Sus scrofa: one gene and its partners. The protein of the gene in region 2 interacts with the protein of the main gene of each other region in a pairwise test. Links are inferred from orthologs where the notes say so. Each region holds a gene or a part of one and is shown on either strand. Other genes may lie near its edges.

Region 1 (4,347 bases), on a different chromosome or scaffold from region 2:
GCACATGAAGCTCTTCATGCTCTGGCTCCACTTTTCTTTCCAAGCTCACCTCCAGAAATCTTTTCTGCTTCCAACATACTCTGGGCTCTAACCATACAGAACATCCTGTCATTCTGCTGCTCACACCTTGTGCAATTCCATCTCCATCATATGTGCCCGTGATGACCCCTCACTCTCAGTTTGGAGACTATCTCCTCACCTGCAAGGCATCAATCATCTGTCATTCCCCCTTGCTGTGGCTGCTACCACCATCTCCAGGCAACACAAAGACAGCCGTCCTTCCCCCAACAGCTCACATGACCCTTATCATACTGCCTGAGCATTATCTGTGCATGGACATGTCTGTCCCCCCACTAAAGGATAAGCTCCTCTAGCTCCTCTAGGAGTGTGTTTTAATCACAGCACCAACAGGGCTGGCTCTCCACGGCAGCAAGTGAATGAGTTTCTCCACTCTCCCAGTAATGTCCCAGTCTATTCAGTTATGAATATGGACAGGAACGATCTTAGATCAGAGAGATGAAAGAAAGAAGGAAAGAAAGAAAGGAAGGAAGGAGAGAGAGAAAGAAAAAGAGAGGAGAGAAGGAAAGAAAGAGGGGAGAGAAAGAAGGAGAAAGAAAGAAAAGAAGAGGAGTTGCGGTCATGGCTCAGTGGTTAATGAATCCGACTAGGAACCATGAGGTTGCGGGTTCGCTCCCTGGCCTTGCTCAGTGGGTTAAGGATTCAGCGTTGACGTGAGCTGTGATGTAGGTTGCAGATGCACCTCGGATCCCGAGTTGCTATGGCTCTGGCATAAGCCGGCAGCTACAGCTCTGATTAGATCCCTAGGTTGGGAACCTCCACACGCCGTGGGAGCAGCCCAAGAAATGGCAAAAAGACAAAAAAAAGAAGAAGAAGAAAGAGGGGGAAGGAAGACAGAAATGCAGTAACCACTCTATCTCAGGTGCTTTGAAGAAACTGATCACCTTGCAAATTACCATTAATGAATCCAGACTCCTCTGAGAATCTGATGAAATGTATTCATTATTCAAAAAATATATATTGATACAGCAGAAACTGACAGAACATTGTAAATCAACTATAACAAAAAAGAATATATATAGGAGTTCTCATCGTGGCACAGTGGTTAATGAATCCAACTAGGAACCATGAAGTTGTGGGTTCAATCCCTGGCCTTACTCAGTGGGCTAAGGATCCGGTGTTGCCATGAGCTTGGTGTAGGTTGCAGACTCGACTCGGATCCCGCATTGCTGCGGCATAGGCCAGCAGCAAAAGCTACAATTCAACCCCTAGCCTGGGAACCTCCATATGCCATGGGAGCAGCCCTAGAGAGAGAGAGAGAGGGAGAAAGAGAACTTATTACATGTCAGGCATGAGCAATTATAGAAGACAGAATGCCAGTGTGTCTTGACCTGTTCTGGAATAAATGTACCTAACATTCTGCACAAAACCTCAGAAACAATGACCTTCTGAGTTTCATCCATATACTCCAATAGTGCTCTGTCTCATAATGTGGTGGCAGAGTACAAAATGGCATAATCCCATGGAGTAGAATTTGGAAATGTGTAGAAAATTACATATGACTTTACATTTTGACTCATCAGTCTCACTTCTGGGATCTTATCTTACAAAAATATGAATATATCCACCGGTTAGTCTGCACCATTACTAAGAATAGCCAAGTTTCGACCTCCATCCAAATGTTCCTCAATAAAGGACTGATGAGATACAGCAACACAATGGATTTTTGCGCAGAAAAAAAAGAGAAAGAGGAAGATCCCCCAAATTAGGAGTGATCCCTAGGACAAAGTGTGAAGTGAAAAAAAGCAAGATGCATAAATTGCAGTTTATATGCCGCCTTTATATTAGCAACAACAGTGGAGAAAGGAACGCTAATACATATATACAGTCATAAAAACAAATTAAAAACTGGCACAAACGAACCTAATTCCCTATCAAGCTAGTATTGATGTCTTATTACAGCTGAGTATGGAACACAGTATCTTCACTGCACTTCTTCAAAGACAAAAATAACTACATTGACAGCTTAATATCATTTGGAATGGAATAACAATTAAAAAGGGAGCCGATTCCTGCCGCTGCTCCTGAAAGATAACACATGGGAATGGGCCCGTGGTTCCTAAGGAGAAACCTCCAGTAAAGGGTTAGTCTCACATCTAGGCAGCCTGCATCGCATTATCAGCGGAACCCAGGTGGAACTCGTTACCTCGTTTGGCTTATTTCTTGTTCCTGAATTAGCGACATACCCATCTGAAAAGCCTGTTATAAGTAATGCTATTTTTTATACACACCAACAGCCATCCTGGCTCAAGAGAAGAAAGCATCTTCCCACAGAAAGAGCTGCCTCAAGCCTGCATAAGCTGTCACAAGAAACAGAAAGAGGTTCTTCGCTCCTGCTTGGGAGAAAGGTGGCCAGTGGTAGGGTTGCTTTTTTTGCAAACAAAAATACAGGATGTCCAGTTAAATTTCAGATAAATAAGGAATGATTTTGCATTATCCTATATTGTGCTAAAAAGCTATTCCTTATTTCTCTGAAATCAAATTTAAATGCGTACCCCGAATTTTATCTGGCAACCCTGGATTCCGAGCGCTTCGGTTGCTTTTCTATCCCAGGTCCCCGGCAGGGTGCCCGCCTTCCGTATCCCTCCAAAAGGCATAGCGCCGCTCACCACCGAGGAGGAGGAGGAGGCCGGCGCTGAACTAACCTTCCCGAAGCTCGGGGAGCATGGGCGTCTACTGCCACCGCAGCGCTCACAAGGTCCAACTGCAAAAACTGCCTTGGTTCGCAGGATTCAGCCCAGCACCTGAAGCAGTACTTCCACAACTGCGCCTGCGTCCTCTAAGCCGGCGCGGGACGCAGGCGCCTACCTACCCTCTAGTAGCGTCCTGTCGCTAGGCAACGAGCGCGAGCCCCAGGAGCAGGAGACTGCCTCGTGCTGAGAGGAAGGGGCGCGCCGCAGAGAGCGCTGGGCGAGGAGCGGAGAATTTGCAGCAGAGAGGAAGCGTGTCGGGCGGTGAGCGGCAGTAGGGCGGGGAGGAGGCCGCAGAGAGGAGAGGAGAGGCCATAGGAGAGGAGCAGAGAGGGGCGGGGTAGGATGCGCTATTGAGAGGAGGGGGCGCGCTAGGTGTGCGAGATTACCGATGGAGGGAAGGGAGCACCAGGGTAGGTGAGCAGAGACGTACAACCCAGAGGCTGTGAGAAGAGGACAGCCAAAAGGGGGAATCGGGCGGAGCTGGCAGGCTTGCGCACACAGGGAGAGAGAAAAGGGAGAGGGCTGGCCTGCGGGAGAGGAGCCTCGGGGCTAACGGCTTTAGAGCAGAGGAAGTTATAGCTACCTATAGCCTGGTATTTTCCCCGCTTAGCACCTTTGCACTTGCTGGTGACCTCTGTTTGGTTCCTGTCCACTGAAAAAAAATTGCACATCTGAGAGTTGTGAGTTGTTTTATTTGGGGACTAAACTGAGGACTTTAGCCCTGGAGATGGCCGCTGTGACAGCTCTAAGGAACTGCTCCTGCATGGAAGAAGTAGAGGGGTGGTCAGCATATGTGTGATTTTGGAGAAGGGGTACCTGCAGTCAAACACATATCTAGGTGAAAGGTTATTCTAGTCACCAGGCACAGATGACTTAATGATTTCAGTGCTTTCCTAAGTATGGGAAGATGCAAGAAACTGGGCTTATAAAATTTTTTCCTGAAAATTTCTAACTATCTGAAGGCCTGTTCTATCATTTTCTCCAGAGAACAGATTGCTTCAGTCCTGATATCCATCCTGAACTCCTTTTAGGTTGTGTTAATGACTCAGTTAACAACTGTAGTGGCTAAGCAATCCTTGTAGAATCAGCTGGCTAGCAATGTTCTTTAGTTGGCATTCCTCTCACTGTGATGTGCTCCCCACCTCCAGAAAGCCTTCCATCCTCCACCAAGCCCAACCATTTGCAGTCTTCCTTGGTTTAGTCCTTTGCGCACAGGCTAGCATTTCTCATGTTCTAATTTATGTGGGGCAGTACTGGGCAGGAGGTGCCTCAGTAAATGTTGGTTGAGTCATAGATGTTAGCATGGCACTAACAGATGGGAGGAAGCGTGAGCTCTTGCCTGGGCCCACAAGCATCGAAGTCCTGACTGATTAAGTCAAGAAATATTTGCTGAGCACTTACTGTGAGCCCAACACTAGGAATACAGTGTGAACAAAGACAATCTCTATACATATCGCCCCACCTGAATGCAAGGCCATGAGCAAGGAGGATCAGTACAAGCAGACCTCAGAGGAGCTCTGGAAAACTCAGAAAAATAGCCCCCGTCTCACTGGTGAGCATGGCCAGAGTTGGTGGG
Region 2 (3,645 bases):
CTCCCCTTTTTTTGAACCTATAATTTAAGGGAGAGAGCACACATATAAACACACACCTGGACCTTTCTGACAGATTCAGTCAGTGGATACATGCTGATGGCATTTTGTAACGGGGCCACAGAGATAAATAAAACAGAATTCCTCCCCTGAAGGAGTTCCTTTCTGATAGAAGGGAGGAGATGATAAACTATGTAATAGAAGACGCTGTGTTATAGAATCTGTGTTGGGTTGTTCTGAATGCAAAAGAGCAGCACCCATCCAGTAGTTTTCAAATTTTGTGTTTTAATGATAAAACTAAGACTACCTTTCAGGGTAGTATTTTATATTTGTATTATCAAACTCAATCACTTATTCTCAGTTATACTTACAGGTTGAAGCAAGTTGTATTAAAGATATTAAGATAGGAGTTCCTGTTGTGGTGCAGTTAATCCAACTAGGAACCATGAGGTTACGGGTTCGATCCTTGGCCTTGCTCAGTGGGTTAAGGATCTGGCATTGCTGTGGTGTGGGTCCCAGACACGGCTCGGATCCTGCGTTGCTGTGGCTCTGGCATAGGCCAGTGGCTACAGCTCCAATTAGACCCCTAGCCTGGGAACCTCCATATGCCATGGGAGCAGCTCAAGAAAAGGCAAAAAGACCAAAAAAAAAAAAAAAGAAAAAAAAAAAGGATATTAAGAAGTAATATGCTTTGGGAGAGCAAACGCAAATGTCTGGGTGTCTTTTAGGGAGAATGGGCTGGAGTCATTCTTTTAAAAATAGTGTAAAAAATGGAGTTCCTGTGATGGCTCAGTGGTTAACGAATCCGACTAGGAACCATGAGGATGCAGGTTCCATCCTGGCCTTGCTCAGTGGGTTAAGGATCTGGTGCTGCAGTGAGCTGTGGTGTAGGTTGCAGATGCGGCTGGAATCTGGTGTTGTTGTGGCTGTGGCGTAGGCTTGCAGCTGCAGCTCTGATTAGACTCCTAGCCTGGGAACCTCAACATGCCGTGGGGTGCGGCCCTCAAAGGAACTTAGGAAATTCTCTAATGTGTTTTCTCATAACCAGCATGGGGTGTCAGAGTCACCCATAGAACTCTTAGAAGTTCACCAGATGCTTGGACCACCCCCGAACCACCCCTGGTTCATTAGATCTGGGGTGGAGTTCTGGTATCTATTTTTTTTTCCAATTTTATAGTTAATTCTGATAAGTTCATACTCAAAGTCAAATCTTTTAAAAGAGAACCTCTTGCCTTTTGAGATTTTACTTGCTCAAGGCTCCCATAAGTATCGACTGGTTTTCATACTGTCCATTAATAATCTTCCTTTATAAAACTGCAAAGAAATCTATCCTCAGGAGAAATAAACATTTATTTACATAGTGGTTTATTTCTTTATGATATGTATTAGTTTTCTGTTTTGGGAGTCTTTTCCTTTTCTTGGATTGAAGGGTAATACTGAAAAAATTTCAAGCCTGGGTTAATTTTTCAAATCTGTAGATAGATTTAGCAGCACCAAAACGAACTTAAAAGACAACTTGCACCTTCTCCAACTCCTGTCTTTAAAGGGAGAAGGAAACCACAATACAAGTTAACAAAAGGGTTATTTCAGAGGGATATAAATACTAATTTAACTGTTCATGCAGGAAGTAAAAATAGAGAACCTGTTTCATTCTAAACATTAAGATGTATCTCAACCATTTATTTCGTAACCTAAACCTTAAGGTATATGATCTGGAAAAAACTGCTACTGTAGTCTCATAAAATGTAGTATCTGACAGCAGATTTTCACAAGGAAAGTTCAATTTTCTTTATACTTTATGAATTCAAAACAGCTGAACATGATAGGCAGTCAGCTAGACTTTTGTGGTCATAAACATTTTCACCTTAAGTTAGTTTATGGTACATAGAAATTGAATGTTAGTGAATTGTTCTTTCCTTTTATCCTGATGGAAGCTTATTCAAAAGTTAATACAGGCATATCTTGGAGGTATTATGGGTTCAGTTCCAGACTTCCACTATAAAGCAAGTATCACAAAATGAGTCAATTTTTTGGTTTCCCAGTGCATACGAAAGTTATGTTTACATTGTTGTCTGTTAAGTGTGCAACACCATTGTGTCTAAAAAGTGATGAGTATGCCTTAATTAGAGAAAATGCTGTTGGGAAAATGAGGCGGATAGACTCGCCCAATACAGGGTTGCAGAAGACCTTCAGTTTGTTGGGGTGAATAAAAAGCAGTAACTGCAAAGTGTAATAAAGGCAAAATACAGTAAAACAAGGTGTGCCTGTACAAGTTTTGAGACAGAATTGCTAGTGGAATATGGCACTTAGACATGCATGTGGTCGAATCACTGCTTTACCAGACTTTGCGATTTCAGGCAAGTTACATAATATTCTTTGTTGTTTTCTCATGTATGACATCAGGATATAAGATATTGCCTTAGGATTCTGGTCAGTCACCTGCTAAGTCTCCTCTGTGTGCTACCCTCTTGATATTAAATGACATGACTTGAGTCAGGCACCTGGCTTCTTGGACATTGGTTCCAGTTTTCTCTAGTCAAGTAATGTTTTTCAGCCTCAATATCTTCTTTTTATTTAGAATCTACATCGGGAGACAAATCTGTGTCACACGTTTGCACAACTCCTTCCACGTCTTCAGCATCTGGACTGAACCCCACATCTGCACCTCCAACGTCCGCTTCAGCCATCCCCGTTTCTCCTGTCCCACAGTCACCAATACCTCCGCTACTTCAGGACCCAAATCTTCTTAGACAGTTACTTCCTGCTTTGCAGGCCACACTGCAACTTAATAATTCTAATGTGGACATATCCAAAATAAATGAAGGTAATTTTCTTCTCTTTTTTGGGGGTGGGGGGTGGTGGATCTTTTTAGGGCCCAACCTGCAGCATATGAAAGTTCCCAAGCTAGGGGTTGAATCGGAGCTACAGCTGCCAGCCTATGCCACAGCAACCTACACTACAGTTCACAGCAACGCCGGATCCTTAACCCACTGAGTGAGGCCAGGGATTAAACCTGAAACCTCATGGTTCCTAGTCAGATTCATTTCTGCTGTGCCGCAGCAGGAACCCCCAGGTAAAGGTAATTTTCGTTGAAACAGTTTTTTAAAAATTCATTTGTATCATGCAAAACTCTGTAATTAGTAAAACTCCCAACTGAGGAATGGTCTTTGTTTCATTTTGAAGTTGACGGTTGAATGTCATGCTCTGAAATTTACATCCCCCACAGCCTAAGATCTTTGGTATTGTATCAGCAATACTTGGATTTTCTATTTTTCAAGACTTGTGTACCTGTCAGTTACTGGAGATAACTATTTTATCAGCTTACCGTGTGTGATGATTTTTTAGTTTTTTAAAGTATAAACAGAGAAAATAGTATTTGCTAAAATAGATATAAAAACACTTGGTTTCTGGCGTATTTCAAAACAACCTCCTGTATATCAGTAAATAATTATTTGGCATATTAAAAATATGCTGTTTACTAAGGGTAGTAATTCAGGTAGTTCTTAAAATACTTAAAATTTTTTGAGAAGGGAAGTAATGGATAGTGTTATGCTATCTTTCCTAGTTAATTTCATTGTTAATTCCAATTTGCTTTTAAGTGTACTACTGAAGCATTTAGGCAGCTACCTCACAGAAGTCTGAATAAAA
Region 3 (4,252 bases), on a different chromosome or scaffold from region 2:
CCAGACCTTCTGCATAGAGGTCACCAAAGATACAAAGCCCAGGTAAACAGGTACCAGGAGAGCAGTGAGTCATTACGATCCCTGGAGAGCTGGGAGAGAATGCCAGTGTGACAGTCGAGCGGGCGTGCCCATCTTCAGCCCCGGGGTAAGGCAGACACACCCTCCACGTGAGGGGGCGATGGAGGAGGCCAAATGACAGAGAACTTTATGTTTCCATTTTTGGGCCCCACCCTAAAATATAAATTTTACTTAATCGCAAGCGAACCACCAGTGACAGCCCACACTCAAGGGAGGGGGCTCTTTCTTCAAGGCAGTGAGCAGCAGGAGGGGGTCACTGGGCCATCTGAGAAGTCTGCCAATCACAGTACCTGACAGCCTGGAGTTCAGCCACTGTGGCCTGTGCTGCATGAAGGCTGGCATGCAGCCTCGCCAGTGAACAAGGGCCTTTATTAACACCAGGGAACAGGGACCTCAAGGCTGGCAGCACGTTTCTCTGAGATCCTTCCCTTGAAGGGAGGCCCCCATTGCTGTCCCCTTGGGGACAACGCTTCCTGTGGGGATGCTGGGTTTCTGTTCACCTGACTGCTTTGGGACAACAGGCTCTGAAATCAGGTGAAGACTTCTGGAGGCTTCCTACTGCTTGCCCCAGAGGGCTTTCCTGAGGCCGTGTGCTCCGTGCTGCCCCTGGCTTGCCCACTGTCTCCCCTCCAGGTGATGAGGCTCTGGAGCCCTAGACCGGACCTTTGCACACCGGTCGGCCTCCGCCCTGGGAGTGGACAGCCGTGGGCTGGGCAGTCTCCTGTGGGGGCATCTCCGGGGTCAAAGCGGCTTCTCGCTGCACCAGCCACAGCCTCTCTGGGGAGCAGGGCCTTGACCAGGCAGGTTTTTTTTACCCCGAAGCCTTCAGCTCCCCCTTGGGCTACTGACTCTCCTTCCAGGGCCCAGCTCCTCTCCGAGGGGTCACACCTGGCCTCCCGCCCGGAGGGTCTTCTAGCTCCACTTCCCCCTTCCTCCTCTGCAGGGCTGTCCCAAGGACCTTCCCTCCTCCACGGCCGCTGGATGGGCAAGCGGCCCCGCGGGGGTCCCCGCTCCACACCCAGGGCTGACCCTCCCGGCCATCCCCCAGAATCCTTCCCGCGGGCGGGGCTCCCTCCCGGGGGCGGGGCTCCTTCCCGGACGTGCCGTGACGCTCACGCCCTCCCCGTCGCGCCCCGCCCCCTCTCCCAGGGGCTCTAGGAAGCCAGGCGGTGGGCACGGGGGGCGGGCCGGAGCCTCGTCCGGTCATTGGCGGAGGCCGCCGTCTTTGGTTGTCAATCCCGCCGGTCCGGCCCCGCCCCGCCGGCGGAGCGTCGGGGGACGCAGGGCCGCGGGGGCTGCCGGGACGGACCCAAGATGGCCGGGCGCCTCGGTTCCGCTCCCGCCTGCGGCCCCGAGTCCCATTCATTGCCGCGCTGCTGAGCGGAGCCCCGAGGCGGCCCGAGGGCTTCGGGGGCTGTCCCCGCGGGGCGAGAGGCCGCCATGGCGACCCTGGAAAAGCTGATGAAAGCTTTCGAGTCTCTCAAGTCCTTCCAGCAGCAGCAGCAGCAGCAGCAGCAGCAGCAGCAGCAGCAGCAGCAACAGCAGCCGCCGCCACCGCCGCCTCAGCCTCCTCAGCCGCCACCGCAGACGCAGCCGCCGCCTCAGCCGCCGCCGCCCCCGCCCCCGCCGCCGCCGCCGCCCGGCCCGGCAGTGGCCGAGGAGCCGCTGCACCGACCGTGAGTGCGGGCCCCCTGCAGACCCCGGCCCGCGGCGACGGGGCGACCCCGAGCCCCTCCCCGGCCCTGCGTGGGTCTCGGCCCCCCGCAGGGCGCGGAGCCTCGCCGGCCCCCCCCGGAGGCACCGGGGCGTCCCGGCCGCGAGGTTAGGGACGGAGCCGGGGCCGTGTTGGGAGCAGCGCTTGGCGGAGCGAGGCCGGCTCCGGTCCCTGCCCCGCCGGCCGCGAGGAGCGGGACCCGAGCCGGAGCGCCGCGGGGGAGCGGTGACGTCATGCCTCGGGGCGGGGGCGGCGGCGCGCGCGGCCCAATGGCGAGTCCTTTCCGAGGCCCTGGAGCAGCCTGTTCCCGCTGCCGCCGGGCATCCCCCCGAGTGCGGGGTCGCGGGCGGAGCCGCAGCGCGTTCGGCGTCGGCCAGAGCCGAGCTTGTCTGCGCTCCCGTTGGTCTGCAGGCTCTTGAGCGGGTTGTGGTGGCCAAGTTCGTGGTGCGCTGTTTAGGTGGTGATGAGTCACGAGGGAGAAACTAAAATTTGCCTGGAGTATTGGGTCGAGTTGACTGTGTGCAGTGCCTGTGTGCAGTGGGAACGAGAAGGACGTGTTGCTGAGGGAGAGGTTCACTGCCGGGGGCGAATGCGGTGCGGGAACGTGGCTGTCCGGGGACCCCGCAGGCGTCGCCTGTCGCTGACATCCGGTGCTGTTGGGAAGTAGGGGTCTCTTGCTTGTGCCAGGGAGAATTTTTGAGACAGAAAAAGAACATTTCAGGAGCTCCCGTCGTGGCGCAGTGGTTAACGAACCCGACTAGGAACCATGAGGTTGCGGGTTCGGTGCCTGCCCTTGCTCAGTGGGTTAACGATCCAGCGTTGCCGTGAGCTGTGGTGTAGGTTGCAGACGCGGTTCGGATCCCGCGTTGCTGTGGCTCTGGTGTAGGCCGGTGGCTACAGCTCCGATTGAACCCCTAGCCTGGGAACCTCCATATGCTGCGGGAGCGGCCAGAGAAATAGCAAAAAAAACCCCAAAACGAACATTTCATTTCATAGAGCACCTTCTGAGAGCACCCAAGCCCTTCCCCTGGAGTCCCGTGTGCCCAGTGGTTCAGCCGAGGCCGGGGCGTGCTCCGCGGCAGGCCAGCCTTTCACCTCGGGCCACTTCGTGTCTGAGCCGAAGGTGGACGGAAGGCATTTCATGAGGACGGCTTTCAAGAAGCAGCCCCTTTAAGGCGCTCACTCTGTTAAGGCTGATGCACTCTTAGCAATGTTTTCTTCTTTTCTTCTTTATGTTTCTGATAGGATCCTTGCTGTGTCAGAGATTTCGTTAGAAAATGAGAGTCGAGGAGTGATTTTGGCTTATCTGTTAGAATAAAATTTAGAAATAATTTTTTTCTTCTAGAAAAGGTCTTTTGAATACTCAGAGGGGAAAAAAATATTTTTTAACAGTTTGCTTTACCTCTGCAGCAAGTAATTTATAACCATAACCCATCGCAGACTTTCATGGTAGTGCATCTCCTGCAGGTGGATGTCATGAAGTTAACACGTGGTTGGGACCTTGTATAAACAGGGGAAGCACTAGTGGGGCTCTGTGTAGGGAGGAGGTTCTACTGCTGTCCCTGTCTGCTCGTGCAATCACTTGGTCAGCCTAAAAATATGCCTTCTGCTTCTTATGCTGATTTGACAGAACCTGAATTTGCTTATCTTCTTCAAAATACGGGTGTAAAGAGGTTTCCTTTTTTAAATTTTTAAAATAAAAAATTGTTTTAAAATTTATAATTATTATTATTTGTCTTTTTGTCTTTTCTAGGGCCGCTCCTGCAGCATATGGAGGTTCTCAGGCTAGGGGTCTAATCAGAGCTGTTGCCGCCGACCTACAACCACAGCCACAGCAACACCAGATCCTTAACCCACTGAATGAGGCCAGGGATCGAACCCGAAACCTCATGGTTCCTCATTGAATTCATTAACCACTGAGCCACGACAGGAATGCCTAAATTTTAAAAATTTTTTATTTATTTTGCTTTTTGGGGCTGCACCTGCAGCACATGGAAGTTCCCACGCTAGGGGTCCAATCAGAGCTACAGCTGGGAGCCTAAACCACAGCAATGCAGGATCCGAGCCACCTCTGGGAACTATACCACAGCTCATGGCAACTCTAGATCCTTAACCCACTGAGCAAGGCCCGCAACCTTATGGTTCCTAGTCGGATTCATTTCCGATGCGCCACCACAGCAACTTTCTGCTGCTGCGCCACGATGGGAACTTCCTTCTTAAGCTAGCTTGATGAAGTAGATTTTGTTTCACTGTTTTATTGTAAGGAAATGTATGATTGACTTATTTTAAACGGAACCTGATTTTTTTTTGCATGAATAACACAGTCACTTGATACAAATTCCAAAATTGCAAAAAGTAAGTAAAGTAGCTCCCATTCTTTTCTCCCAGGTACCTAACTCCATTCCCAGAGGCAAGCGCTGTTACCCTTTCCCCTGGTGTATCCCACCAATGTACATGAAG

The links.
Region 1: the proteins of WAC (region 2) and DYDC1 interact in binary tests that used the Homo sapiens proteins (3 or more experiments, as listed by UniProt). The two-hybrid records come from large-scale screens. The link is inferred for Sus scrofa from reciprocal best matches to the Homo sapiens genes WAC and DYDC1.
Region 3: the proteins of WAC (region 2) and HTT interact in binary tests that used the Homo sapiens proteins (3 or more experiments, as listed by UniProt). The link is inferred for Sus scrofa from reciprocal best matches to the Homo sapiens genes WAC and HTT.

Annotation. Positions count from the first base shown.
Region 1 is NC_010456.5:82,194,283-82,198,629, forward strand, and holds the start of DYDC1 (DPY30 domain-containing protein 1), read right to left. Parts: upstream 2,879-4,347; 5' UTR 2,724-2,878; intron 584-2,723; exon of another isoform or gene 50-583; intron 1-49. UniProt on the Homo sapiens protein: Functions as part of axonemal radial spoke complexes that play an important part in the motility of sperm and cilia. Plays a crucial role during acrosome biogenesis.
Region 2 is NC_010452.4:40,005,993-40,009,637, forward strand, and holds part of WAC (WW domain-containing adapter protein with coiled-coil), read left to right. Parts: intron 1-2,575; coding exon 2,576-2,821; intron 2,822-3,645.
Region 3 is NC_010450.4:1,808,394-1,812,645, forward strand, and holds the start of HTT (huntingtin), read left to right. Parts: upstream 1-1,374; 5' UTR 1,375-1,518; coding exon 1,519-1,754; intron 1,755-4,252.